Drosophila melanogaster: one gene and its partners. The protein of the gene in region 1 interacts with the protein of each later gene in a pairwise test. Each region holds a gene or a part of one and is shown in the gene's direction. Other genes may lie near its edges.

Region 1 (8,589 bases):
CTCTATTCATTAATAAATCTGAATTAATTTAAAAACACAAGTGCCTATGAAATCGAAATATAACCATAAGTTCCTCATATCAATTGCATACAAAAAACACACAACACCGCAAACATTTTTATCAATGAAATATTTGTATAAAAGTTTCTAATTGAATTAACCTTTGTTTTATTTAATTTACTTCATGACAAGCTTCCATGAAAGTTGGTGGTTTGGGCAGCTCGTAAAAAATTCCCACAGTTTTTAAGAATTAGTGGAGCCAATCTGTCTCGTAAACATATTTACTCGTTGTCTAACTTAATGACTCTTCGTCATGCTGGTCAATTTTAGGCACTGATTTCAGTGCGTGTTTTCCTAATCGTATCTTGGTTTTGGTTTTACATAACTTTTACATCATCCATACCTCAAAATTGCTCAAGGGCAAGAAAAAGAATCGTTTCGAATCGAAACGAATCGAATGGATTGGAAACGAATGGTACATAACTAAATGTTTTGGTTTCTTAGAAATCTCGTTTCTGTCTCCTTATAATTGCTAATTTATTTATTTATTTTATATTCGTTTTTTTTTCAGCTCTTTCTTTATTGTTTTGGCTAAGCGTTGACGGGAAAAAAATAAACAGAGAGATGGGTATTTTACGACCCAACGAAGATTTGAATGCTCTACGTATGTTCATATATATATATATTTCTTAATTTTATTTATTCACTAGTTTCGTAAACAATGCGTTAAACAACATAAAGCTAATAATGTTGAAATATATTCAAACAATAGCGAACACTTTAAAAAGTTCTTACTTGCTAAGGCTATAATAATTCAATGCAAATGACATAATTTGTCTTGTTTTTGGATTGATATCGAATGGAAAATACTTCTCAAAATTCGTTCAAAATTCATAATACCCCAGATAATGGGGCACAATTCCGAAAATCGGCAAAATTCAAAGCGTTCGGCGAAACGAGGGAACTGGGGGCTGCGTAACAAGTTGTTCGATCTGTTAATTTGCCAAAGAAATCACGAAAGATCGCAATAAAAATTAGATACAAAAATGAAACACTTTCTTTTCTTTTCTGTGCGGCACATATGCAAATGGCAAATGTAAAGCCGAATCTATAGCTAAAAATTCACGTTAATCGCATGGTAATTAATACGGCAGCTGCAGCCTTTTACTTGGAATTAAGGCGATGACAATTAATGGGGTGATAGATCGAGATGATAAGTCAGTTCGATTGGACGGACACTCCCTTTTGGGCTGACTTTTTGTTAACTCGTTTGCTTGGACCTGGTCTCTAAGTGAGCCATCAAGATCGACTCACAGATCAAAAGACAAGACTCTGGGGCGTGTGCAAGTATGCATAACAAATGCGATTTGATATCAAAGACACGGACGAAATAGCAGACATCAAACATCAGAAACACCAGGTTAATTTCCAAGGCGAACTCAGTTGGTTGAGCCAGACGAACTAACTAACTAACAGCCATCACACATTTGACAAGTCGCTGAAATGGCCAAAACGTTTTCATTAGGCCAAGAAGATCAAACAACCAACCAGAAGAAGAATTAAATGGCCAAAAAAAAAAGAGATACTTCTTTTCGAATGAAAAATGAATGCCGTGCGGCATTCGTTTAAGTTATTAAGCATAAAACTTAAATTAGAAGCACCATTAGCGATTATCATTAGAGCTGCGTGTCCGGTCCGGTTTGATTTCAATCTCATCCACGCGTTGGGTAGACAAAATGTGATAGACTTGATTGCTGACAGCCATAAATGCAGTGTTCAATCAAAATATGTTTGCAAAACCCGCCAATCCAGGAATAAATGTATAATATCTATAAGTTGGCCAAAAAATAGTTCAAAAATAATAGATATATATATGTTCAAATGCAAGCCAGGTTTAGCAAACAGAAAATCGAAAGAATATGTCTATAATATTAACATTTTAAAATATACAATATTTTCGTTATACCTTGAATTTTGGGTGTATATGTGTGTCATTGTATTTTTCAAAACAGTTTGATAAGCCATATTGTCATATATCAGGATTTGTATAAACTGTTTACTTTTAGAGCTCTAAAATTGGCAAAAAGGAAATAAATATTAATTAATCGAGAACTAGTTTAAAAAAAGGTAAATTTTGAACATTACATTTTTATGGGGCCTTAAAAATGGAATATGAATAACTATCTTAAGATAACTAGAATTCAAGGCAAGCGCTCTGAGAACCCAATACAAACATGAACCATCAATCAAATAACAATAATGCAATTTACAAGTAAATTCGGAAGATTTAGAAGACCAAACAAAGAGTTTCATAAATGGAGCCATTAGTGTAACCAATAACTATGCAAATGATGGAAATACAAAACGCTGAAAAGCTACCGAAAGCGAAAATCCGATGACCCTGTGCGGTCCGAAATGGTTAAATGGCATTTTTGAGCCCAAGATCTCACGATCTCTTAAGAAGATCCCAAGACACCAAGCACCGAAGACACCAAGACAGACACTGATCCGCCAGAAGAATCGCATTTGATAAATTTTGATAAGACCGAAAACGAAACGGCTAATTAAGCGAAGGCTGACTGATATGCATATTAGCATATGAAACCGAAGAATGAGAATGGGGCATCTTATCAGTGGTGAAGAATCATCATCGCCTCTTTCCGCTGAAGAAACGGATGAAAGATTTGCGGGTTCCATTCAGCGGCACTTTCGGAACTTGGAACTTGGGTGTCCGCTAAAATAAACTGGTCGCCCAAGTTAGTATAGTATATATATAGTTAGTATATATATATATATATATATATTCCATGCTTTATAAAAAATTAACGCAGATTTAAATTTACGCACATGCACACACTCACACAGACACACACACCACACACACACACACACACTCAGGGAAGAGAATCATCATTAAACGTGTATGCTAATTTGATGATGGCGGTTTTCTAATTTTGTTGCCACGAAAACCAGATTTCTATGCTTTTCGATCTGCGATCAGTCTCCGTCAGCAACGGAGATACCGAGAAGGGAGAATTGTCCAGAAGACCCGTAAAATGTTACATCTTCTGGATGCTGAAGATTCACCGATGGATGATGCCCCTCATCTGGGCTAATCCCCTTCCTCACACACATACACACACATATATATATATATATATATATGCATATATACCATACCGATTTCAGCGTTGACAAACTTTGGCTTTTTTTGATTCTAAGCGGCTGCGACGCCGACAGAGGCTCAGTTCGTTGTCCGGTTCCTATTTCTGTCGACTTCGCTGCCGGCGTCGCTGATAATACCATATATAAGGAAACAAGAAGTCGCATCGTTTGTATTTATTTGCTAGAATCTGTGAGCATCGGAACTAACCGAGCCGCTACAATAAAAAAAAAAAAACATAAATTAGTCCTCGTTACGAAAAAAAAAACACACATAAAAATGAAGAGTTTTGTAAGTGCCCGAAAGTACTGAAAAGTATATATTTAATGAGTTATTTTTTTTTTTGTGGTGTCTCAATAAAAAAAAGGATCAAGTGAAAGTGCGCGCAAAAAATGTCCTTCAAAAGTGTGAATACTTTTAAGCCACAGAAATGACTTTAAAGCTTATTTTGAATCTCAAACAAAAGATACACATTAAAATCAATTTAACCGAAGTTCCTGCGAGGCTGCTTTTTAGTTTTTTTTAAGCTTTACCTAAGAATTAGTATGCCAAATTAAAGAACTAATGACCCACACTTTAAGGAAAGTCCGAAACCTAAAGTGTTTGAATATCACCTTGAGCAGCCGCATAGCTCATCGACGTCAAAACAGACGAATGACAAATATCGAAACGGTTGGAACCCATTATGATTAGTGCCTCGGCCCGAAACCAAATCAAATAAATCACAGCAAATATAGATAAAAAAAATTAAAAAGACTAAAAAAAAAACGAAAAAAAAAATAAATAAACGAGAGAATTGCGAGACAAAGCGACGCTGTGCGGTCAGAAACGCCAGCGATTCGCGCGCGACTTTGATTAATTGCCCGTTAATGCGAAATGCAAAATACGAATCCCAATTCAAATCCAAATCAAAATCCGTATCCAAATCCGAATGCGAAAAAAATAAATCGTAACGACTGTGATCCACAGATATGACTAATGCATCGTGTGACAAGTGGCACTAACCAGGCATTCTATCTTTTAGCTGATCCTTCTGGGTTTCGCTGCTCTGGCCGCTGCCGATGTCAAGCATCTGACAGATCGCAATCTGGACCTCTTCAAGTACAATCCCAGCGATATCTACACCCTGCCCGAGGACATCGATGACGACAAGCCGGCGGTGCACTTTAGCGGCGATGTCATGAAGGCCAAGACCGAAACCCTCCAGAACTACAACTCGGGCAAGAAATTCAAGCTGGAGTGAGTATCTATGGTACCTATATAGTTCATAAAGTGATAGTGTTTGGCTAAATTAAAACATAATTATATATTTATATATGAAGTTGAATCGCAGTCTAAAAGAAAACTACTTTAACATAGGTTTATAGATCTGTAATAACTTTTGATGCATAGCAAATAAATTCAAGTAATTTGATATATTTTTTTAAATAATTTACAAAGCATCAAGTAATTTGATATATTTTTTTAAATAATTTACGAAGCATTACTAAAGTTAAAATGAACTTTTTTTTCAGACTGAAGACCCAGAACGGCATCGAAGTGAGCAGCGTGGGCAAACTGAAGGACGACAAGACCTTCGTGGTCAGCGGCTCCTACTCGTTCACCGGCGCCGATGGCAAGCGGTACAAGACCCGTTACACCGCCGATGAGTTCGGCTATCATCCCATCACCGAGCTGGATCTGGACATTCCCGAGTGAGTAACCAATACACTTTACAAAAAAAACGTTTAAGAACTTCTTCAAACTAGCACATTTGCGTACAAATCAGAAGTTTCATACACTATTATTGCAAATGATATAATGAATATAAAAAACTTATTTTATATTTATATATTTTAGACCCCAGCCTTTGGCTTCTGCCGGACAGCGCCAGACCGTGGATCCCAGCAGCCTGTTGGGCAACAAGAACCGTTTCCAGTTCCTGCAGCAGACCCTGGACTCCGATCAAGGATCGCAAGGTCCTCTGAGGGGCAGTGGACAGAGTGGCGATGACTATAGCTACACGTCTCCCTATGGAAATGGCAATGCTTACGGTAATGGAGTTGGAAACGGATACGGAAATGGAGTTGGCAACGGATACGGAAATGGAGTTGGAAACGGACAAGGAAATGGAGCTGGAAACGCATACGGAAATGGAAATGGAGTTGGAAACGGATACGGAAATGGCAACGGCAATGGCTACGATTATCAGCCACCTCAGGTGCCCCTGGCGACGCCATCTCGTCTGTATCTGCCCACCGCATAAGGCGATTATTATTTAGATATACCCTTATCCAACACCCTTCTCCCGCAAGATTTATGCCCCACCCGATTCCCGATTCCTGATTCCCGATTCCCGATTCCCGATCCTCGATTTTCCCCCCAGCTGCAAGTATTTAGTTTTTAAGTGCAACTCCAACAGGCAAATGAAGAGTAAAACAGAGCTAGCGAAATTTTTTTTTATCATTTTTTAGTGTTATACACGGAGCACAATTTTATATGATATTATACACTGATATATGTTATATATCTAGCCTACACAAAAACACGCACACACACACACAAAAAAAACAAACACACACACAAATCCCGAGCAAAGACACAAACGAATCTATGTATATACACTGAGTGATATTAGTAGTAAATAAAATGGCTAAACTAACGATCAAAGTTTTAATGTGTTTTAATTGAGGAATAATATGGATGGGGATATTTATATATATATTTTGGCTTTGTAATAAAATGTTATTGCAAGCAATTGTTGAAATTTTATTCAGCATCGTTACAAAAAAAAATTCGTTGTTTCAGAATAAAGTTAAGTTTTATTAACTGAAAATGAATAGTTTGTTTACTGTTTTATAAGCATGGCATATACAATTTTCCAACTTAGATACAGAATCTATTATTACAGATTATGATTTTGTTCGAATGCCTAAAAGCATGCAACAAACGTATGAAATTCATCTGCATCTACATATAAATATATAAATTAAAGCGATATTTAATGACTTCTAGTTAAGGCTCTTAGCAGCAGACAAGTTTGCTTGATAAATTCGTTATGTATATGGAATTTAAAACTTTTTTAAAAACGGAATAGAGTGGTAGCCAAATGGTCAAAGTTATGACATTGCTCATACGCCACGTTGTACACACTTTTCTCAAAATAATGCCTGCCAATGCTTAACTTTAGTTCGTAATATGTATATGATTGGTAATATCTCTATATTATATACATATAAATAATTAAAATTCAAAGCGATTGAAACTTGTGCAGAAATTGCAGACAAAGAACCGAATCTAACGCTATTTTTGGAATGCAAATCTGGACTCGATATGTAGGGACCAACGTAGGCTGTCCAGAGATAAGCTGTTGCGGTGCAGTAGCAACAGATGTTCGTGGCGAGCACCTGAGATACACCCGATGATCCCTGATCCCGTCGTCACAGATATGTTATTTCCGATTACCGCGGGAATCTGTGGCTATATAAGCAGACCCGTGGGCGTCGGTAAGGCAACAGTCTTTAGGCATTGGATCCATCAAGTGCATCCGATCCGGAGCAGTTAAAGTTGAGTGTTTCGAACAAAAGAAGGAGTTTCCAGGATGAAGTTTGCCATCGCATTCCTGGCTTGTGTGGCCGTGGTCACTGCGACCGCTTACCACAAGACCCACGACATCAAGGTCGCTGACAAGGCGTTCCTGATGAAGCAGAAGTTCCTCTTCGAGATCGTCTACCGCGTGGAGGATCCGCTGATGTTCGAAGAGTACATTGCGATGGGAAAGCAGTTCTATTTCGACAAGGAGCACTACACGGTAAGTGGGAGAAGAAAGCGGATTCCGAGTGGTCAGTACCACAAAATGCACCTTCAATTCTTCGCAGCACTTCGATCTGTACATGGAGAAGTTCTTCGAGGCCCACAAGGCACACGCTTTGCTGCCCAAGGGCGAGTTCTTTGGCGCCCTGGTTAAGCACCATGCCAAGCAGGCACGTGGACTCTTCAACTTCTTCTACTACGCCAAGGACTGGGAGACTTTCATGACCAATGTGGCCTTCGCTCGTATGCACTTCAACGAGGGCATGTTCGTCTATGCCCTGACCCTGGCCGTGATCCATCGCGATGATTTCCATGGACTCGTTCTGCCCGCCATCCATGAGATCTTCCCGCAGTTCTTCTTCAACAGCAAATTTGTGATGGAGGCCGAGAAATTCGACTATGAGATGTGGATGAAGACTAGCCTGTACGAAAAGGAGTATATGGATGTGTACCACAAGATTCCAACTTTCTCCTCATACGAACATGGATACAAACAAGGAATGGCATACGGATACGGTAAGACACACGGACATGGACAGACATATGAACACGAATTTGGCAGCATGTACCAGACCAGCGACTACATGTACATGAAGGACTTCAAGACATGGCAGTGGTGGAAGCTGATGGGTCTGGGCGAGCACTGGTACAGTGAGAGCAACTACATACTGCGCGAGAACATCTACGAGTACAACCAGGAAAGCAACTGGCTGACGATGATGAAGGACGTGAAGAAGTTCTACATGCCGGTGGACTATAGCCGCGATCTGTACCTCTACAACGAGGAGTCCAAGCTGTCCTACTTCACCGAGGATCTGGGATGGAACAGCTACTGGTACTACTTGAACATGGACTACTCCTTCTTCCTGGACGGCAAGACTTTTGGCCTGCAGAACGATCGTCGCGGTGAATGGTGGCTGTACAATGTGCACCAGCTACTCAGCCGATACCACATGGAGCGTTTGTCCCATGGCCTGGGCGAGATTCCTCAGTTCTCCTGGTTCCACCAGATCGAGATGGGCTACGATCCACAATTGATCTACTACAACGGCATTGGCTACAGCTATCGCAAGAACTACTATGAACTGGAGACGTACGGCAACTTTGAGATGCTGGACAAGATCACCGGCTTCCAGCAACGCATCCAGAACATCGTCGAATTGGGCTACTACCAGACGACCGATGGTCATATGATCGATCTGCGCAAACCGGAGTCCATTGAGATCATCGGTAATATGCTGCAGGGCAATGTGGATGCCATTGACAACATTTTCTTCCAATTCTGGTACATGCTGGCCCATATGTACTTCGCCGATACCCACTACTATCAGATGGAGGTGTACCCCAATGTGATGCTAAACTTCGAGACAATGATGCGGGATCCCATGTTCTATATGTTCTACAAGTCGATCGCACAGGTCTACTTCCAGTTCATGCACCATCTGCCCAAATACACCAAGGAGCAACTTCTCATGCCGGGCGTTACACTGAAGCATGTGGAGGTCAGCGAGCTGGTTACCTACTTCGATCTGGTTGACTTCGATGTGACCAACATGCTCAACGGCAAGATGGTCTTCCACGAGGGTCAATTCTTGTGGGACAAGTCCTTGTTTGCCCGCCAGATGCGTTTGAAC
Region 2 (7,438 bases), on another chromosome or scaffold:
CATCGCCCTCGTCCGGATGCATTTCCGATTTCTTAACCTCCGGCCGACAGACCATGAAGTGCCTGTACGGCAAATCGAATTTATCCTGGCCCGTTTCCGATGTGATGTTGTGCAGAAAGCAGTGCCACTGGTGCAGCACCTGGGCCAGGTGATCCAAGCCACCGTAATGGAAATGTAGAATCTTGTACTGCGACTCCCGCGACGCGATCACCAGCTGACCCGAAGTGCAGTTGTCGTCATTGAAGAAAAGGCGCAGAGATCGCATTTGGCTTAGGTCAACGGAGAAATGGCGGCACTTCATCGCGGATTTTTGGCGATCGGCTGGCGTCGAATTGCCGCTATCCGGGAACTCCAGGTTGTGCTTGAAGGCCAGCAGTTCAGGTGTTGTCCACTTTGGGTTATCGGTTGCCGGGCCATCGCCTACTCCAGAACCATTCGTGCAATCGGAGCAATTGTTACTATCCGGCCGGATGGTGATGCAGTTGAAGGACTGCGATATATTGCTGTTCTCGATCTGCGGATTGGAGATCGTTATGTTCACCGACGTGATGGGGTTATTCTTCAGCAGAGCGGTCAAGTCGTCTATGGATGCAGCTTGGCCACCCAGCAGCGGTTGCAGTTCGTTCTTTAGCTCCTGCATATCCGCCGCGTTCTCATCCTCCTCCCGAATGTCCCTCTCCTGGATCGTCTGCGGTATGGTCACGTGGCAGTAGCCGTTTCGAGAGTCCGGCGACTTGCTCCTCGGATTACACTGACCCCGGCAATCGTCGGCATTCAGATTGGTATACTTGCATAGCGACGAGTTCGGTATCCAGGTGAGCAGAAGCGTGGGCCTCTTGGCGCTATTATACTGATCTACAAAGGTCTTTGTCGTGCAGGTCAAATAGCCCGGATTGTGCAGTATATCCGACTCATCGCGGGCGATTGTGGGCGGATGGATGCAGACGTTATTCTTGCAGAAGAGGATTTCGTTGTCTTCGTAAGCAATATCGATTTTTCTGTCCAATCTCTCGTCGCCCAGTATGAAACTAGAAGCCTTTTTGATAATGCTTCCTATGGGCATGGTCTCGAATTTGATATCCTTGAGCGGGTAACTACTATATGGTGAATTATAGGTTTCCTTCCCGGAGTTATCCTAACGGATTTACTAGTGGGCGGATGGGGAACTTTTTTCTCTGGTTAGCTTCTGGTTTGGCGGATTTTTGTTTGATTATGGCGGTCGCTGGTTACCATAATTTTAGGAATTGGTTGGCTAAACCTTTGATTCGACAATTAATTGTAACACAGCGGATTGGTGAAAAAAAAAACTATTAACTTTTGATTCTAGGGACCTCTCACAAGCAGGATGACATTGGAGGAAAAGAATTTACGCGAAAACTCAGCGCAGGCGCAGTTAACAGTCGATGGTTTTAAGACTGGTTTCGATATTTAATACTTTAAAAATGTTGAGGATTTATTAATTCAAACTGCAATGAAAAGGTATATTTTTAATAACAATGATAATATATTAAATGCGAGTAGGTGTATATTAATATCTTCTTATTCAGCTTGCAAATCAATCAAATCTAAGTCTATTTCTATAAGCTTTCTTCACATAATCATACTATATATCAAATGGAATACAAAACATATTATATATACATTAATTAAATATAATTTAAATAAATTTTAGAAACTACAGGAACATTGGTATTGGAACAGCATATGTTCCAGCTATCGATATCAGACTTACCTTCACTAACGTAAATAGAATCAATAGTCGCTTAAAAATATTGACATTGCATTTAGTTTTGTCTTGAGTTCTTGATAAAATGGCGAGCAAAAGAAAGCACCAAGCATCCCAGAAAGTGAAAGAGGAATCCTTCAAGAAACACACGCTTGACTCCGATGAAGAGGATTCTGACGACTACGAAAGGTAATGCTTAAAATGTGCAAACAATTGATTGTTTTGATTTCGGCACTTTTTGTTTGCAGGGAATACCTCAATGATAGCGACATTGAGGGCGGCGAGGAGGGCGTGGCAAAAGTGGAAGACGATGTGAAGGTAACACCCTTCAATATGAAGGAAGAACTGGAGGAGGGACACTTCGACAAAGATGGTCACTACCATTGGAACAAGGAGACGGAAGCAAAGGACAATTGGTTGGACAACATAGACTGGGTTAAAGTAAGGATTCCATCACTGCTGCCTGTACACAATCATTTAATTTAAAAGCAATATTTGCCTAACAGATTGGCACACAGAAGAACGCCTTCGACCCGGCAAAAGATGAAGAAAACTCTTCCGATGAGGAGAAGAACGAACCCGTGGGCAAGGCCTTTAACTTGTCCATGAACCTCATGAAAATGGTCGAGTTTATGAAACCGGGAGAGACTGTCAAGATGACCCTGCAGCGTCTGGGTAAGCAGCGCCCCGTCCTAACAACCCTTCAGAGGATTAAGCAGAAAAAGGCCGGCATCGTTGACCCAAAGACACAGGAAATCTCTCAGCTCACCGAGCTGGCCAACGAGATTCTCTCGAAGACGGGCAATATGGATATATATCAGGATACGTACGAAAGCATCAAGGCCAAGATCGCCGATTTGCCAGGAACGAGCAAACCTAAAGTAGCCGATGATATTGATATGTATGCAGATGATTTCGAAACGAAAGAATTGGAGCGCTCTAAGACATCGTCGAGTGATAGCTCCAAACCAACGACGACTACCTCAGAGGTGACCTGGGAGTTTAAATGGTCGCAGGATGAGACTGATATCCAGGGACCCTTTTCCACGGAGAAAATGTTGAAATGGTCCCAGGAGAACTACTTTAAAAACGGAGTCTATGTGCGAAAGTGCGGCGAAAACACAAATTTCTATACAAGCAACCGCATAGATTTCGATTTGTACTTGTAGGCCTTAGTTAACAAATGTTAAATTCTTTGGGTTTTAACATGTTTTCTGCAAATACTTTGTTCTATAATTGTATACTGTATACTTTACAAGAGGTTTCAATTAGTTTGCACTTGGTTTGGACTTAAAATAAAATTCATATTCATATTGATTCTGTCGGCTCTTAAATTTGGTCAGATATACCAAATTATGTATCCGAGTTACTTGCGCTAGTGACGAATAGCGAAAGATTCTTCTATTAGACCCACTAGTTCAGTAAGAGATATCTGATAGTCGAGAAACTCGAAAATGGCACTGTTGTTTTTGAAATGTGCAAACGATAGTGTGGCAAAAGTATCGTTTGGGCGGTGATAGTGCAATCGATGAATGTGCAGCTTTAATTTAAGCTTGTGAGTCTTGGCAACTCTAGAAACACATCGATTAACGTAGCTGAAAATTGTTTTATGTTTAATTAAATACAGGCGAATAGCTCAAGATCTTTTTGGTGTTATGAGCGTTCAAAAGTCACTACCGTTTCCCACTTAATACTTTGTTAACTGTTAAGTTCGTGCAGCAGTTCCCCAATTCTTGCAGAGGAAACAAATTTACGAGTGCTTCGGTGTTGTTGGACACACACTCACTTTTCATCGGTGGAAAATCAAATTTGGGACCAGGCGCAGAAGATTCGTCAGGATGACGACCAAGCACATCTATTCCACGACCAATTTATCAGATCTGCAATTAAAGGAGCAGGGAAACTGCTTGTTTGCAGCCCGAAAATATGACGACGCAATAAATTGCTACTCAAAGGCCATCGTAGGTGTCTCACATATTTTTGTTATTGTGATGTGTATTTTGTTGTTTACATGTGCACTATGCTCCATATAATATGTAGATAAAGAACCCCACAAACGCCACATACTTCACAAACCGAGCCCTCTGCAACCTGAAACTGAAGAGATGGGAACTGTGCTGCCAGGATAGTCGGCGCGCCCTCGACATCGATGGGAATCTGTTGAAGGGTCACTTCTTCCTGGGCCAAGGACTCATGGAAATCGACAACTTTGACGAGGCTATAAAGCACCTTCAACGGGGTTAGATAATACCTGACCTTTGATGTTCTCTACACTAACTAACCATATATGAAACTTATAGCATACGATCTGTCCAAGGAGCAGAAGCAAAACTTTGGGGATGATATTACACTACAGTTGCGACTAGCTCGCAAAAAGCGCTGGAATGTTATGGAGGAGAAGCGAATACAGCAGGAAATCGAGCTGCAAAGCTATTTAAATGGGTAAGATGTTATTCGAATTCTCTAGATGCCTTTTGCAAACTAAATTTAGTCACCGCACGACGATATCGAGGCAATTGTTGTCCTCATGTGATAGAATATATATTAAAAAAAGCGAAATTTGTGCAAAACCTAAATATTTATGTTTCAGTCTAATAAAAGGGGACATGGAAAGCCGTTTGGCCAATTTAAAGCTGAATGGAAATGTACACGATGAGCAGCTGAAAGACAAGCAACAGGAAATTGAGCAAGAATGCGTAAGTTGGACTTTAACCAGAATATTTAGCGGAGTTGACAATCTAATTTTACTTTTTAGGATGACCATATTAAGGAACTTAACAATATATTTTCTAAGGTTGACGAACGTCGAAAGGTAAGAAACTAAAGGAAAAATAACCAATATTAAAAATATTGTTCTAATATTGTTATTTACATATTACAGAAACGTGAAGTTCCCGATTTTCTATGTGGCAAAATAAGTTTTGAAATATTAACAGACCCTGTGATAACTCCATCTGGAATTACGTATGAACGAAAAGATATAGAAGAACACTTGCAGCGGGTTGGACATTTCGATCCTGTGACACGCGTTAAGCTCACTCAGGATCAACTAATACCAAATTTTTCAATGAAGGAAGTGGTTGACTCTTTTATTGCCGAGAATGAATGGTCTTTAGATTATTAAGTTACTTATTAGTTGGCATTGTCATTGTAATTGATTAGATGTTAGAACCCAGTTCCCATTGTCTAAAAACCAGATAAGTGATAATAAATGTGGATCTGCAATTGAGATTTATATTGTAAATGGATAAATTGTAATTATTAATAAATTAAACAGCATAATGTTCAAAATATAAATAAAAAAGCTTTTGCACGATATCGATAGAGAGTTAGCGGTAGTGTGAAAACAATATAGTTTCGATCACCCGTTCCAGTTAGTCAAAAAGTTGGTGATATCTTGACCAAACAAATTATCGATATACAGCTGCTTACAGATTTGCAGAAATCATTTTCAAAGAAATTTGTTTATGTGAATTCACAATTGGATTAACTTCGCTCTTCTTTGTTTAGTATTTATTTAACAATAATATGGATTCGTCTGAAAGCCAATCGCAAATGGATGACCAAGATGCTCGCATACTGCGTCTGCAAAATCTGATCGAAAAGAATATTGAGATAGGTAAGTTAAATCATAAATTACTAATATCTGAAATAACTATATGAATTGCAGAGCAACAAATCGAAAACAACACCATCGGAGAGTCTATCACGGCCATAGAGGAAATCATTCAGACAGCCAACGATATCAGCAAGGGACATGAAGACCGCCGTACAAACTCCACGGAACTTGTCCTGGACACGGAGCTACTGCGTCGCAATTTCGAAGTTGTGGGAAAAGCTATCCAACATAACACCAACGTCACGGATCGAATGGTGGCCACGGCGATCGTAGGTGCACTGTGTACTTTATTTATGCCTGATCGTAATGTTTGATCCTATTACAGAACGATTTGGTTTTCAAAGAGAGCGAAGAAGATTGGGATGCTCTTTGTTCATTGGCTATTCAGTTCGGAAGACCACTCTTCACCAATGATAGCATGCTGCCCTTCATAGATGTTACTCCAAAGGTGGTGGTTCAAAAGCAACGTGCTCCTCGCAAAACGAAATCTCAAGTAAGTCATTTGTTAAACAATTTCTCACAGTAATATTTGTTCATATTATTATGGATCTTGTAGGTAGATGAGAAGCGTCCAGAAAAGAGTGACCAATTGGAACGCAAGGACGAAGGAGCAGCGTCCGTAACCCACATGCTGAAGCAAATAAGACAAATATATCGAGATGGCAATCAAGAGCCGATTCCGTACTTTAAACTGATTTGCAATCCAAACAATTTTATGGACACCGTTCAGAACGCTTTGCAACTGTCGTTTCTTGTCAAGGAGAACTATATTTCCATCGAAAATGGCGAGGATGGTTTGCCATTGGTTCGCGTTGTGAATTCCAAATCGGTCGAAGGAAACGCACCGTCCCAGGCTATTTGTTCCATCGATGTTACCTTTTGTGAGGTTCGTATTTCAATTATTGTTTAAAGCATTATAATTGATATGATTTAAATTACAGAAAATGGTAAAGCACTACAACCTACATGAGCCAATGTTAAAAAGACTTCCGGTTAGTGAGAAATAGATATATCACTTAGTTCATATTAATAGTTTATATTGTTATTAATAAAACACATAGAACGTTTAAAGTTACTCATGTACGGCATAAATAATCGGGTAATTGAAAGTGTTCTTTCCCCCAAACATTAAGTAATTAACGTAATATCAACACAAAATCATTAAATGAATTTTATTACTCAAGCAGTTACTTCATAGTTCAAACACTTCCCCCAATATTTTACTACGAATCCGCCCCTGCCATTATGTCAATTTTTATGACCGCCTACAAATTGTGAAATATGTAGAAGGGGCACTTGTGAAGTTATAGCAATATAAAATGTATGTATGTTATATTTAGGAACTAAATATTAGTTAAGTTGTTTACTTATAACTTTAACCAGTTTCGGATTATGTTCTTAATCCGTTTTTCCTGGTCTCAATGGGTGGCATACCAAGAATTAAACAAATAAATTACTTTGCAGAGTGGAATAATGAATGAATGAATGATTGGTCCATTAATTAAAAAATCACTCCTGTGCTCGAAATTAGTGCACTTTCCGTTGCACAGCGGCTTTTAATTGAATTCCGTTAACTTAATTCCACAAAGAGAAATTAAGATTAATTAAGATTTATTGCACAATGAAGCTTAGGGTTAATTGCATCTTTGCGGTCGACGGAGTTTAAAAGGCTTTCTATGGAGTATAGCCTTTTCTAAGAGATCAGTGCTTCTATTCAAACTGGATGTAGTAGATCAAGTTACTCGATGCACTATTGTCTGAGATTTTGGGGCTTTCAACTTCATGTGGGCGAAGAGAGTTGACCCAAGTGCAGGAAACTAAGCTAATGTGTAATTATATATAAAACCAAAATGAAGATTTATTGCTCCATATCAGCATAGCAACAAACGACCCAATTAATAGCCACCCAATCTTCAAAATACAAAATTAATGATGCACAAGCGCAGTTTCAATAAGTTGCCAAGTTGGGTTTGTCTTAGTAAATTCCATTGAAGAATTCTACTTCTATGAAAAACTTAGTAAATGCATTATGCTACTATGAGTTTGAGCAAAGAGAAAATAGTTTTTTTTTAACTGGAAAATTATTGAAAAAA
Region 3 (6,541 bases), on another chromosome or scaffold:
CACCAATGAAGTTATTGGCTCATTTGGTCAGGCGGCTAGCGAAATAAGTGGAAAATGAACTGAACGGAGATACACTCCACTCCTTGATTATCGTGGCCATCATACGAACATATCTCCTTCACCACCACTGCTACCTGACCCCTTGTCGCGCCTAACGATCTTTAACCTGACCAACAACGATCCCATCCCGGCCATCTCGGCCCAGACAGTCTGCCAGTCTTTTGTTGTTTATTGATCGTCGTGTTGCACAGCATTCAAACGTGCGTCGAGTGAATTTGTGTCTTTGTATCTTTGCATCGCAGTACCTTTGTATCTGGCGAATGCATTTCGTTGTATCTCAAGTGTATGGGATTGTTTGTACCAATGTTTGTCCGGCTCATTTGCAAAATCTGCTGGGTAATCAGACACCGGCTAGGGATGTCAATTAGCTTATGTTGCTGCTGCTGCGGCTGCTGTTTTGCCAAGTGCGTGACCATTGAACCTGCATTTCCCATTTCCCATTTCCCTGCTGCTTTAAGTGAAAGTGAAAATGCCAGTCGTTCGTTGAACTTGCTGGGAACTTGGCATAAGCAAAGCTCTGCCGACCCTCAGAACTAATTGAAGATTTCATAACTCAGCATTTATGGCCCTTTGCAATCTCAGTGTCAGACTCTAGGAGTCTAAAGCAGACAATTTATGATACAAATTAAATGCATGAAAATTATGATGAATGCGAGGCGAAATTTATGCTGATGACATACCCAACAAAAGAGCGCCAATCCGCCCAGACTCCTACGGCTTCACAAGCTCCTTCTACCTCGCCTGCTCCTGCTCCTGCTCCTCCTCGTCCGCTTCCTGGAGGGCAGCTCCAATCAAGAGCCAGACGATCCACAGACAACAAATCGCCGAGTCAAGGAGTTTGCGGCCCAAGTCGTTTCTGTGTTCATGGATACACGCAAAAAACGATGTGTTACATAGTAAAATCTTTGGAAATATGTATATTATTATGTAGCTCGTTCTTAATAACTAAGATATTTGAATTTACTACACTTATTCGTGCCACTTTCTCTAAGTGTAAGTCTGGATCTGGTCCTAAGTTCCATTGCCTCCCGCCCCTTCCTTTATGGTTTTTTGAGCAGCTGCATGAGGGGCGGGGAGTACAACGAGGTGGACTCCTTGTGGCTGTGGCTGCCTGCCTCTAGCCGAAAGTTGTTGCGTATTTAAAATGGAAATTGCAAGTTTTTCGCTGAGCGTTCCCAATGTCTTTTCCCTGTCTCTCTTGCTCGCTCGTCGACGCTTTTGTTTCACTTTCGTTTGCTGATTGCAGGTTTTTTGTCTTAGCTCATTTTGATTTTATTTCTCCCGTCTTATTCGGTGCATTTATCACGGTGCCACACATTTGTGCCACAAGATGCCAGAGAATCGGGCGGGCATGGCCAATGAAATTGGCCGCAAGTTTCCTTTTCATTTTCATTTTTTTTGCAAATTGAATGCTGCTTTTCAAGCCGATTTCAAGGGTGAACGATTATTGGCCAAGACACCACACTCCTTTCGCCATGATATTTGAGTGAAATTTCTTCATGCAGATCCATCTGCAGTTTTGTCATCTCTCGCTGGCAGGTTATGAAATATTTCGCAACTTTTGCTGCGAAAAATTTCCTGTTTTTCTTCATTTCACTTACGCACTTCTCTCCTTTGGCGGAGTTCGGTGGGTTTCTCGGCCGATTGGTATTAATTATTATTATGGTCTCGTTTTTGTTTCGCCTTACGGATTTCTGCAGCTTTTATTTTTAATGCCCAGCGAACCTGTTGCAATGCGTTCCACAAGCTGAGATATGCGCCTGGGTGTGGAGAGATGAATAGTTATGAGGTTTTAGGTTTGGCTAGCCAATCTTGGTTTTCCAAAGGGTGCCTGACACTATATATTTAGTTTTATTTACTATCATAAAAGTACGAATGATCCACTTCTATCCCATGACCAACTCACGTATGTTCGCCCCATGCTATTCATCCCTTAGTCTTTTCACCCATTAAAACCATTTAGCATTCATTAAGCCCAATTTCTGCCCCATCCATGGTGCTCGGAATAATCAACAAATTAACTAAATTCCTAGTGGGCGCCTCCATCCCCAGAATAATCCAAATTCCGAAGTTGTGACATCAAGAAATGTCGAAGCGATTTCAAGTGCAGCCCCGGGGAATCTTGGGAACATATTCGAACATTCCCAATCGTCCGCAACCTGTTTGATCCGTTGGTTATCAAAGATATTTCCAAACATGTTCGAAGCGAACCTCATGATGAGGTTGCATGGAATCCATAAGATACAATCCACAAGCTGCTTTGCAGCTACAGCCCAGCGGAATTTCAATTCAGTTCGCGCTCAACTCACAGACACGATGGTCATTCAAACGCGTTAACGAATAATAATTTAAAATAATATTCAAATGATAAATACACTAAAATATGCACTAAACCACGCACTAAACCTAAATCCACGAACTGTACATATTTGTGTAAATAAATAAAGTATAAACAAACAGCGAAGAGAAACCTCGAAATACCAATAGACCGCTCAAGTTCCCATACATTGAGCTGGCCAATCGTGTTTGAAATTATTTGTTTGATCGATTTTGTGCGGTGTGAACACCTTGTAAAGGCATTTGCAAACCTATTGCCATAGCAAGCAAAGTGTGTTAAGCTGGGAAACACCCTCTGAAAAGTTTATGTACTACCCCCTTCGATCGGTCGAATAATAACTACCACAAGACAAGCATTAAGTTTGTGTTTACGTGCTGCTGACTAATTGCGTTTATATAGCCCGACTATATAAAACTGTACAATAAGACACGGCCAACTGTTTTAGTTTGAACGCCTCAGTTAAAGCTGCAAATTGCTTCGCTACCAAGTGAAGTTCTACATTTTCGCAGCGAAAACGTTTTTCAATTGATTTTCATTAAGTGAAAAAATCCCGAGATTGTCTTCTTTTCGGTTTCCAATTGATCGCAATTGCACCAGACCCATAAAACATATATACAAAGTGAGGCTGCATTCCAAGTAGAGCAAGACAGTAACCACTTCATCATCACAACATCAGATGCTGCATAATTAGCATTCGTTGCGTGGAGCGTCGAAAAAAAAAGCGGAAAATGTATCTCATACAGGTGAGGCCAAGCGATACAATGGATCCCCCTCTCACGATTAAGTGTTTGCTCTTACTTATCACATGCTGGCGGCACTGCACTTGCCGACTGAAAAAGATCTTCATTTAAGCGTTTTTTAATTGTCCGCCAGCTGAGATTTTCAGCATTTACAATTCTCCCCTCCGTTTGAAATGACTGTGAGAGGCACGCATCTCTGGCGTATATAATTTGTTTAATTTGTAGCTAATTTATCTTTCCACTTGGCAGCGGGCAGATCGGATGTCGAGCAAATGGGGGGGGGTTCACTGGAGCAGGTGCCTCATTACTGAACTTTGAACTTGAAACGGTGTTACGATTTACAGCTGGTAATGGATTACGGTTAGGCATCGGGGTTCGGGTTAGCAGAACAAATGTGCAGGCCTGAGATTATGAAGGGAACTCAAATATTTTGACATAACCATTAATCATTTGTAAATGATATACATTCAATCGATTGCTTTTGAGTTATCTGTCAGCATTGCCCTAAATTATTTAGAGATTTATTCCGAGTTTATATCAAAATTTGTGGAATAAGTATGTCAGAACAACCGACACAACATAAATCCGACGATCGCTTCACTATCCTGCAAACCTTATCGGATGTAGTGGACTCTGGTCTCAGCAAGGAAGCCCTTAAAATCTGCATCGAACTGGTGGACAATGGTGTCTGTGGTGGAGCACTAGCACATGTAATTCGAACCATTAGAGAGGAGATTCAAGATGATGAAGATAAGGAAAGTGATGATTCCGGAGAATCGGCTGCATCAACAGACTCAACTTTGTAGGAAATGAATATAAAATATATTTTTGTGTTTATATTTTGTGTTTGTTAAATTAAAAGTTCAACTTTCCGATGGTCTGTTTCCGAAATTTGTAAGACGCTGGTTCTTGGACATCCAATTGCATGATTTTTGAAGGCTTTCAAGAAGACTTCGCCACTCTATTTGCATTCATCAAACGCAAGCGACTGGCGTTTCTGAAAACGGTATATGTGCCGGCCATGATAATGAAAAGTTGCACCACTTTGGCTTGATAGTAGGTCTAAGATGATAATGTGTTTAGATAAAAGCTTATAGCAAACCGAAGCAACAAACGACTCACCTGTCTTATATAGATGGGCAATGGAATGTGCGATCGATGAACATGGTAATCCATTCCTCTGAACAGCCAATAGCCCGGCCACGCCCCCAAACTGGCGAAAAGAAATGGTGCTGCAGTACTGTAGGCCTTTTCAAAGGATTGCGAATGCACCAGTAAACGTATCTCCTCGCCAAGATTATGCATCCGAGGTGGGTGGGCTATTGCCTTGGCTGGTTCCTCCTCCTTTCGCTTAAGCCTCGTCGAGAACTTCTCCTTCAGATTGCCGTAATAATTTTGGATGCCCATCTTGGAAAGGTTTAATTTTCGACCGAAAGTTGTGTATTGTGTGTGTGTGTAAAGTTTGGACAGAAACATATATCAAGGCTTACCTGAACTAAGAGGAGTCTCCGATGTCAGCTGTTTCTTCCTGATTATTGTGCACTGTATGCATTTCTATTGGTATGCCGGCAGGTCGACCCATTGATATCGTGAACAGACCAGTGGCTAAGATAGCCAACTGCATTAGCTTGGCCTGTTGATAGGTCTGAAATGAATAGTTTTCAATAGGTTAGACTGCACGGGGTAGACTGCTATATTTCAAACCCTTTGAATGTAAAATGCGATTCTCTCCGTTTTTCGTGCGGACTGCCAGTTGTAGCCGCGCCAAATCCAAAACGCTGGCCAGGACAAAAAGCTGACCTCCAGATAGGGCAATATATCAATTATCTTCTTCGATAGACCCTGAGGTGCGTTGCGATCTACGAAGTCAACAAACTCTAGCTCGTAGTTTAAAGCTGGAGCCGTTTGTTCCCTAAACTTTTGCAACTTGACATCTGGGGTTGGAATATCACCAGAGGTTAGGGGTTCAGTGGTATCAGGTGCAGTTCGATCAGAGTCCGGCTTCCCAGTTTCCTGGCTCGAAGCTTCTGGTATTTGGTTTGCAGTGGTTTGGGTTTCTTGTGCATTCTCTACATTCTTAGGACTGTATACCACCGCTGCAATGGGGGAAGTAAAGTTATGAAACAGCTCTGAGATCTTCTGGAGCAGCGAATCCATGCTGAAAAGCTGAACTTTTTGACTATTAATTTTCAATTTTCCCAAAGGTGCCAAAGCAAACAAGAATAGCTTGCTGGGTTTTTGGTTTCGTTTGAAAAGTTCAAAGACTCGAGGCAATTGCATAAATTATCGCCTTAACTCGTTCGTTCATGCGGGCTTACATTTGTTTTAAACTAATTTACCCTATTCATTTTTCTATTTTCTGTCTTTTTATTTTGGGGGCCCACAGAAGCCGCAGAACAAGCTTCATTATTGCCGGACTGCGGGTGCCCAAGATTGGGGTTCTATAGTACGAGTACGAGTATAGTCTATATGGTGTATGGTGTACAGTGTGGTGCCGAAGTGGGTCAGTTGGTGCAGCGGTTCATGCAATTATAAAGCGCATATCTACAGGTTGCATACCAGATACCTCCACTTCCACTTCCAGCTCGACTTCGACTTGGGTCCATTGTGTGGCAGTGGCCAACTGCTAACGGCTCGGACTACGGCAGGTGTCTCATCAGTTCATTGTGTGTTTTTAGTCTTTCCACTGGGTCTTGTGTTTTTCGGTTGAAAATGTGGCTTACCTTCGGCGACAGCATGGAGTTGTATGGCTTTTGCCGGGACAAAGACGCACCTAATGAAGTGAAAATCTTTGGTTCTATTGTGATAGTTCTTTGATTAGCGGACTTCGTTTGGAATATTCTTAAGCCACTCCTGATGGTTCATCGATCATGTGGAAAGTTGACATCTAACACTCTAACAGTTCTCTGCATCTGCGGATGAATTGAGAAGACTTAGAATTGATCCACTTGCCCACTTATTTACCTGAGAGTATCAGCATTACCATTTTAAAGCCATTATCTCTCCCCGTTTCCAGCATCTTCAGACCAAACTACTCAAGCGTTGAGCCTGAATGGGGCTTTCATTCAAGACGCTTTGAAACCACAAATTGCATTTCTACGACTTCACACAGATCGATTCCGAAACTCTCCGTCTCTCAGTATTCTATCCACATTTCTCTGAAACTGCGGCCTACACACAAAAATGCCTCTACCCTTTTAACTGTTCAAAGTCAAGCTCAATTAACCCAATTTCAATTTGGAAAATGATTTGCAAAAGCCAAATAAATCGTTTTGAAAGTCTTCGGCCTGTTGCCAAAACACTCGAGCATAAATCAGCACCACAACGAAATTTCTTTGGCCAAAACGCCAACTCGCTTTTGGGCCCACCTGCAATTAGTCTGCTCAGGTGGGTGTATACTCTT
Region 4 (8,210 bases), on another chromosome or scaffold:
TTTTATGGCCATTCTGTTCGTTAATTAAAGAACCAACGCCAACGCTTGCCCAAATAGAAAGCCCAAGTCGGCGGCTTCAATGGATCGAAATCCATGTTTGTGAATGCTCGATGGGAAACTCGCTCGTTGGCTATTAAAGCGCACAGACTGCAGTTCTGGGTAATTTGAAAAACATTTAAATTGGGGCACGAAAGGGATTGGGTTGTCGTGGAAAATGCAGGGCATGTAGTGCCCTTAATTCGATCACGCTTAGAAATGTCACATATTTTTGGATTGGGAATGGGAAGCTATGTTCCACAAGACCAAGACAGACTCACTTTCATTGCCACTGGCCGCGGGAATATGTGACACTCATTTATTGGTAAATCGCATTTGGCCCGCAATTAATGCCAATCACGTGGCTGACCGCCAATCCACCTGACAGTATGTGCCACTACTGGATTTTGTCACAAAACGCTGACGGCAGTGCGATGCATAAGCAAATCACACTGACTTTGAAGGAAAACCCCAAATGGCCAATTGAAATGCCAGGCCAGTTGGCCTGACCCGAACACAACAAACCAAAAAAAAAGCAATATCAACAACAACAACAATATAAATGCAAAAATGCGAGTAGTGTTCGACAAAGTGTTTAACACCAAACAATTGTCAAGGCATCGCCGTCGTTCAATTAGAGGCGGTGACATTGGTGATTCGATGGATCGACCCAAGGAGCGAGCTATCTAACAAAAAAAATCCAAGCCCAAAAACACCCATTGTTGCCATCCGTGCGCAGAGTTCATTGGCTTGCAGATTGATTGGACTGATTGCCTAATAATCTTTTCAGTGCGTGTCCCATTCGACGGGGATTTAATTTCGACTGCTAGCCAGATCCAATCAAAGTCATTCGCACCCGCAGGTTAATTGTCTCATAATTATTTATAATAATTTCGGAAAATGTTCTACCGTTGCAGAGGAAACGAATCAAGCGATCAGACCGACAAGATGATTTCTCGCCGCAAGATCATATCGCGCTCCCTAGACAATTTGGATGCCATCGGGCAGGAAGAGCAGGAGGAAGACGTCTGGCACGATCGCGAAAAGCTCTTCAGGGTGCGTTTCCTGTCCATTATAACTCATTTGATCTCTAGCTCATCCATTATCCATACCTATTGACACCACGCAGGATCACATCAACGAGGTTCTGTCCAAGTGGGAGCAAATCGACGACGAGATCTGGGCCAAGATAATTGTCTTCGAGAAAAATCGGCGAGTGGCCAAGGCCTACGCCCGCTCCTCTGTGATAACCATAAATGGATCTAAGAATGGATTCGATGGAGTGCGGTGAGTTTGAACTTAATATTTGACTATTAAGAACAACTTATTTAATATGGCTAAATCCACAGTATTGGGCTGAATGGCTTCGATAATCCGATGCGCGATGCGGAGACGAAGGTGATCAAAAAGTCCATCGGCGATGGATTCAAGATCAAAATGGACGACACCGGCAACATATTCATCAAGCGGTATGGCAAGAGCAGCATCTACGTGAACAGCACATCGCAGGGCAACGAGGAGACGGTGATCGGTGGCGACATAATCCAAATGCCGCAGATGTCCCTCACCGCGGCCACCTCCGCTCGACTCTTTGATATGAAGAAGTTCCAGACGAACATAAACCGCGAGTTTGCCCGCACTTATCCGGAGCGCGGAAGACTGGAACGGCAGTGCCTGTCCGCCGTATCGCTTGTCAAGTCGAACAACAATCTTATCAACTCTCCGGTCTGGATACTCGTGGTCAACGTGGTGGCCATGGACATGCTGAGGAGCCGCCTCCAAACGATTCCCAAGTCACTGGATGCGATGGGCATGCGAGTGCCGCTGACGAACAGCAGCGAGGATCCATACTCCACCATCGAAAGCCAAGTGGGATTGATCTATCCTACGCCCGCCGCGTCGGATGATTCCCAGAACTCCCAGCACTCGAGCAACTCCAGCAAGGGACGGCGCAGCATCTTTAGTGCCGCCTTCCTCAACGAGGGTCCATATGTGCCCAAGGTGGGTTCTAACCTAGATTACATTCTACCTGAAAAATTTGGGACTTCAAACCTTTTAACCTGTTTGGGAAAAAAAACTTAGCCTAATAATTCTTATTTGCTTTTTACACTTTGCAGCCCGACTACGAATCTGGCGGATCTTTGACGCCCATATATGCGGACAAGAAGCGACAGAAGAGCAGCGGGTCGCAGCAGCGGAAGAAGCAGGATGATCCGTACTACTGCGGACTCTTGGCGCGTATTCCCAACTTCATCAAGTCCTCGAAGCAGCCGTGCCCTGGAGGAGCCAGCAAGCCCAAGAAGGAGCCAAAGATCTCGCGGAAGATCTCGGCACAGCACCAGCAACAGCAGTTCCTGCAGCCGGCGCAACCCATTCCCATTGCCACATTCCACCACTCGTACTTCCCCTACAAACTGTATCCACCGCAGCACCGTCTCTCCCAGTCGCAAATGTCCCTCTGGGATGCACGTAGTCTGATCAGCGCACATGGTAAGTGACCACTTAATTTGTTAAGTGTATCTCAGTTAATCAGAACATTTCGCCATTTCAGAATGATCACTTTGGCTGGCCCTAATTTATTCATCGTCTAGCGTTAATTCTAAAATTATTTAGTCAAAGCCTACGATTAAGTTTGGTCAGTGAAGGATCATCGATTCACTGGATCACTGTGGAGTGCATTTCGCTCAGTTTTGTGATAAATGCAGCGAAATGCAGCCATTTAGCGTACGTCACTTAATACGCACTAACTCTAATTAACCGCAGTTAACTTTAAGTCAAGCAGAGAGATTTAATGATTATGCAATTTGTAATGAGTAATTAAAATTTTGCCATAGTTTCTTAAATCGTTTAAGACTGAGAGAATGTCCTAGAGCCCACGATAAGCGCACGGAGAGTTTGGCTGAGATTCAGGATGGGGGCAGATAATGTCATATGCAAATTAATTGCTACTTTAGGCAAGTTCAATTTATTATTTTCTTATTATTTTTCTGTACATACACTTCATATGTAAATAAGATCAAATTAAAAACATGTAATCGATATTAGTACGCATTAAAAAAGAGTTATGAAAGTCAATATAAGTGTTTTACTTTAAACGGGTTACAATCTACGCTGCTGAAACTGAATAATAAAGGTATTTTGTATAATTGTGTGTAGTTTGATTTTCATTTACGAGAACATTTAAACATATCTATATCTATATATATTTTCCGACATTTTTGCATTTACTAATTGTGTTTAAATATCGGAACTTAAAATTTATTAAACTGCTTTGCCTCTTTCTAAGATAAACATTGGTGGTGAAAAGTAAACCTGCGCTATCACAAGATTTTTTGTCTCCTAAATTAAATACATAATAAAATGCCGCCAAATTCGTCATCGAACTAAAATCTTAATGTACTAAACGGAGACCATATAAAAACAATCGATTTTCGGTGAGAACGATAACCGATTGCCAGTGAGTGATCTTGTAGCATTGAGGTTACCCGGTCACACTATCACATTGTGTTGCACTTTTTGTGAGGTTTGGATTAGAAAATTATTGGCGCCTCTTTTGCAGAGTTTTGCGACCGACTTCATTGCAATAAGGAGCGCCAGAGTGCGGAGAACATAGCCCGTGACCATGGACAAGTTTCTGTTGCGCAATCCCACGTGGAAGACGAAGACGTACGGATCGGTCGTGGCCAGTTCCGCCGCAGCTGCCAAGAAAACAGCGGCGTCATCGACCCGCCGACCGTTGCACGATTCAAATCTGGGCGACTTCAGGTCCAAAGCAGCGGCACCGTCTCCCAAATCTCTATCCCAGGCCCCGGCAGGTTGGCTGTGCATGCCTATTTTACATTTTGAACACCCAACCCAGTAGTTTTAGTTCCGGATACGTAGCTCACCCAAAATTCGTAGTATTCAAAAAAAAAAAAAAAAAACAGATTACCATGTCGACAAACGAACCGAGCATTACTAACAAGTTGCGTTCCCTCCTGCTAGATGACCAGGCGGCCAGGGATCGGCTGATGCTCAAGCCGGCATTAGCCGTCTCCAAAGCGATCAGCCAGCACCGCTCCGAGTTCCACCAGGACGAGAACGAGGCGGGAGCAGAAGGATCTGCAGCAAAACCAGATCCACCCATCGGAGCAGCCACGCCAACCAGGCAGGAAGGACACTGGGCCCGACTGCAGCAAGATCTCAACAGCCCCAACGCTGCACTCCGATTACGCGCCATTCGTGCATTAAAGTAAGGACAAAAATTGGTTATTGCAATTGTTATTTATACAACCTAAAGGTCAACTAGTGAAAACAGCTCAGATTCTTGACTAATCCATCCTTTTATAGCCATTTTATCGCTAATTTTGTAAAGTTAGATTCTTTAGATGCAATCCCTAATAATTCCATATCCATCAATAACTATTATATTAACAAGCCAGGTTTTTTTGCCAAAACCAAGTATTGATTATTATTATTATTAATTATTGTTTTGCAATGCAATCTAATCTGATTTGAGAAGAAACTGATCATAATAAAAAAAATGCATTCGCTTTTACATTGTATACATTTTTAGAAGCCCCACCAAGTCGGCATACAATACCTTCGATGTGCCTTTAGCCGAACAAAGCATCATCACGATGGAAGAACGCAATCCCCAGGAGCCGCCCTCCCTCCCCGAGTTGCTCAAGGACATAGTCGTATATGTGGAGGTGCGAACTGGAAACGACAATCGCTCTGAGGGCGTAAAATCAATTATTGCCAAGATGGGAGCCCAGGTCAAAGATCGCCTAACGCGGTAAGCTAAGGGATTACAATTGATTGACTAAAATATATTCAATTAAACATTTTTCGTTTGGCTTGTAGAACCACCACACACGTTGTCTTCAAGGATGGCCTGCTCTCCACCTATAAAAAGGCCACCGAGTGGAATATACCAGTCGTTTCCATTCTGTGGATTGAAGCTTGCAAGGTGCAGCTGAAAATATGCGATCCCAAGCAATTTCCAATCAGCAATATACGCATGTACGAGTATCCCGAGCTCTTTGGCAAAATGCCGGTAAGTTATTACTAATTGTGGCTTCTGTTGCATCATCGATCTTATTTATATATTCAAATGGGGATAAATGGGGCTTAAGAAGATAACTTTTAATTGTCACCATTCGGCTTTATAATTTAGCTTGCCTTCTCATAATACTAAGCTCACTGCAAAATACCCAATAACACATTGCAAAAATAGGCTTGTATGTACGTAGATATTAAAAGTTGACTTATCAAGGTCTTCATACAACTTTTAATATTCTTATCATATCATTATTTGTTAGGCCTAACAACTTCCCAAAAGCTTTATCAGATCTAAGACGACAATGTACTTTCGAGTTCATCAACTCTGCATTACATTTTGGTTGGAAATGGCAGCTTTAACTTACACTTCGATTACAAAAGAAATAGGTCTTTAATTAGTCTAATCGTTGACACTATCAATTTATGGCATTGCGGACACAGAAGCATTAACTCCACTTGAGATATGCCCCCAACTAATAGGCCATTCATACCGAGTTTATGGTTTTATGGCGCACATAAAGAACTATATGGAAATTGTACAACAGATAGCCGGCAAGAGGTCTTATCGACCACTTTTCCTGATGACCACGATCACAGTGGGTGGACTGTGGCCCAAAGCACTTGTGCGAGTACAAACATACATATCTGAAATGATTAGTTAATCCAGAAAATGGCGAACAGAAACGCAGGACCGCGGGCCGTCTGAAACTGCACGTATCTCAAACACGGAATACGCGCAATATTGGGAACTCTTCGTGTCGGACAGATTCTTATCACTTATCACTGGCTGACAGCGAGTCAACCAGCTGTTGTTGTTGTTGGCACTCCGGGTTATCTAAGTGAATTTACTTGCCCTTATCAGCTATCGTACGGCCAAAGAAACGGTCAGGAAGTTGTCCGGACGGAGACAGCTACATTTGTGAGGGAAAAAAGCGAGTGGGTGCAACTGAGAGATGTTCATTTGAATTCGTTTAGTTTATTACTTAGACATTAGACGGTTAAAAAAGACACAAGCTACTGGACGCCGGTGACAACTTAAAACCTAATTCACATGCACGTTTGTTTACAAATTTTCCTAGAACAGTTCATTTACATAACTCGCTGGGAATGCTGTACAGATACGTGTGCACAGATACACAATTGCACGGATGTCGTCGCGGCATCGCTGGTTGTCAAGCTTCTTTCTACAAAACTTACACTCTACGCTAGATTATTAGATTCTCGTTTAGGGCTGGTTCTGAGATTTGTACACAGCATGCTTCTATTTACAAGACAGCAGAGTTTTGCGTTAAGTACAGTGGAATCTTTGAGTTTAGCACTAGATTATGAAATCTGCGAGGCGGGCGAAGGCGAGCCGTTCGTTCCTCACGACAGCGCCACCTCCAGACACATCATGATCAGGAAGCCGGATACAGTGCCCCACGTGGCGATCGTTCCATTTCCGCTGGCATGAGCCTCCGGCAGAATGTCGTCCGACACAATGTATATCATGGCTCCGGCCGCAAAAGACAAGGCGTATGGCAGGATCAGGTTGGCAAAGGTCACCGCCACGGCGCCCAGAACTCCAAAAATGGGCTCCACCATTCCGGACAGCTGTCCGTACCACAGAGCCCGCTTCACGCTGAATCCTGCGGCATGCAGTGGCAAGCTGACAGCCAATCCCTCGGGGAAGTTTTGAATGCCAATGCCAATGGCCAAATTGCGGGCGCTCTCAAATGTCGATGAGTTCGTGGAGCCAATGGCACCAAAGCTTACGCCCACAGCCAGCCCTTCTGGAATGTTGTGGACCGTGATGGCCACGACCAAAAGCATAATCCTCTTCCACTGGGACAGGGCGTCCTCGGCGCGCTGCTGCTCCTCAGGCGTGGTGTAGGTGCACTGCTCCATCTCGTTGATGCTAGCTCCCTTCTTTCGGCGTCTCGATTCGCCGCTGTGCTGCACGCTAAGGCAGTCGGAGAAGCTGTCCAGACTCTTTGAGGCCAACCTATCGGGGGCAACTCCATTGCGCTTAGAGTCCTCGATGGCTATGTCCGCCTTGGCTTTTGATTGCGTCATCTGGATCATCATGTTGGTGCTGTTAAGGCCCAGGTATGACATCAATTTGTCGCATCCGTAGACGAAGATCGATCCCAAGAGGAAGCCTCCAGCGACGGGCAGAAAGGCGTATACTCCGTACAAATGGGAACTCTCGGCCATTTCGATGGCCGGCTTGAGGAGTGACCAAAAGGAGGCTGCTATCATTACGCCAGCTGCGAATCCCAGGGCGGCGTCCAGAGACCTCCGCTGGTTACCCCGGACGAAGATCACTAGGGCGGCGCCAGCGGCGGTCAGTCCCCAGGTAAGCAGGGTGCCCAGCAGAGCCTGCGTGACGGGTCCATAGCCTGGAATCATCTTGCACAGTTAGAGCTGCTTTTCCGTGCCCGTCACCGGCTGGTATGGAATTGTACTCCCGAGATTTATTCGCGTGTACACAGACAGGGCGAACAAGTTTTCTTAATTGTTGCGCAGCAATTGTTTACCCGCCCACAGTTGGAAATGTGCCACGTTCTTGGGCACTGATTGCTGGGTAAACAAAACAACTGAGAACCAATTTCAATGGAGTTTTAGATTCTGTGTATGTTTCAAGGGAATCTCTGGAACACTTGTTGCTGCTTATCGTATTGTTTTTGCGGAATGCTATTGCGTTTCGGGCGGCGGGGCAATTTCGGGGGGACGCGTAATACTGACGGGTTGATAAAAAGGTCTACTAGCTCTACTAGAGCGCGTCGGAAAGTGATGAATGAGCCGCTGACTGAGCTGACAGCCCCACAAAAAGCAATTTTTATAGGGCCGCTGGCTGTGTGCCACGGCAATCGATAGTAGTGTTATCGCTGGCGTCTATCGATAGACGGCGGCCGCTAGGGATGGCACTCGCAAGGCGCATTTATTCAAAATTCGTTACCGAACTCTGCTACTAAATCATTATTGCTCACCTCGGATTTGACTTGTAATTTTATTAAATATCATTTGATATTCATTTAACGCATAAGCGAGCACTATCGATTGCGACTTGATGGAACCATCCTCTTGGGCAGCGAGATGGTCTCATTGTAGATAAGAAAGTTTTCTATTTAAACAACGGGCCAGATATC

The links.
Region 2: the proteins of Cpr11A (region 1) and STUB1 interact in a two-hybrid assay, tested with the Drosophila melanogaster proteins (one large-scale study listed by BioGRID).
Region 3: the proteins of Cpr11A (region 1) and Mzt1 interact in a two-hybrid assay, tested with the Drosophila melanogaster proteins (one large-scale study listed by BioGRID).
Region 4: the proteins of Cpr11A (region 1) and MCPH1 interact in a two-hybrid assay, tested with the Drosophila melanogaster proteins (one large-scale study listed by BioGRID).

Annotation. Positions count from the first base shown.
Region 1 is NC_004354.4:12,483,640-12,492,228, forward strand, and holds Cpr11A (cuticular protein 11A), read left to right. Parts: upstream 1-3,330; 5' UTR 3,331-3,442; coding exon 3,443-3,454; intron 3,455-4,187; coding exon 4,188-4,402; intron 4,403-4,677; coding exon 4,678-4,857; intron 4,858-5,002; coding exon 5,003-5,408; 3' UTR 5,409-5,809; downstream 5,810-8,589. Other genes in the region: Lsp1alpha (larval serum protein 1 alpha), read left to right, coding at 6,744-6,953, 7,021-8,589.
Region 2 is NT_033779.5:10,434,275-10,441,712, forward strand, and holds STUB1 (STIP1 homology and U-box containing protein 1), read left to right. Parts: upstream 1-3,273; 5' UTR 3,274-3,564; coding exon 3,565-3,687; intron 3,688-3,766; coding exon 3,767-3,965; intron 3,966-4,026; coding exon 4,027-4,168; intron 4,169-4,316; coding exon 4,317-4,422; intron 4,423-4,481; coding exon 4,482-4,538; intron 4,539-4,607; coding exon 4,608-4,850; 3' UTR 4,851-4,966; downstream 4,967-7,438. Other genes in the region: TBC1D16 (TBC1 domain family member 16), read right to left, coding at 1-1,063; holn1 (hole-in-one), read left to right, coding at 1,812-1,915, 1,975-2,167, 2,233-2,895; Nse4 (Non-SMC element 4), read left to right, coding at 5,255-5,345, 5,397-5,614, 5,671-5,838, 5,902-6,231, 6,287-6,352.
Region 3 is NT_037436.4:2,385,641-2,392,181, forward strand, and holds Mzt1 (mitotic spindle organizing protein 1), read left to right. Parts: upstream 1-3,624; 5' UTR 3,625-3,695; coding exon 3,696-3,944; 3' UTR 3,945-4,010; downstream 4,011-6,541. Other genes in the region: Svil (supervillin), read left to right, coding at 3,127-3,141; CG32299 (uncharacterized protein), read right to left, coding at 4,081-4,200, 4,261-4,545; CG32298 (uncharacterized protein), read right to left, coding at 4,634-4,783, 4,843-5,295.
Region 4 is NT_033778.4:11,899,222-11,907,431, reverse strand, and holds the start of MCPH1 (microcephalin), read left to right. Parts: upstream 1-3,513; 5' UTR 3,514-3,658; coding exon 3,659-3,851; intron 3,852-3,893; exon of another isoform or gene 3,894-3,968; coding exon of another isoform or gene 3,969-4,020; coding exon 4,021-4,267; intron 4,268-4,591; coding exon 4,592-4,813; intron 4,814-4,881; coding exon 4,882-5,074; intron 5,075-6,037; exon of another isoform or gene 6,038-6,444; coding exon of another isoform or gene 6,445-7,470; exon of another isoform or gene 7,471-7,915; intron 7,916-8,210. Other genes in the region: reb (rebuf), read left to right, coding at 985-1,092, 1,166-1,323, 1,386-2,037, 2,154-2,526, 2,588-2,592; Zip48C (Zinc/iron regulated transporter-related protein 48C), read right to left, coding at 6,445-7,470.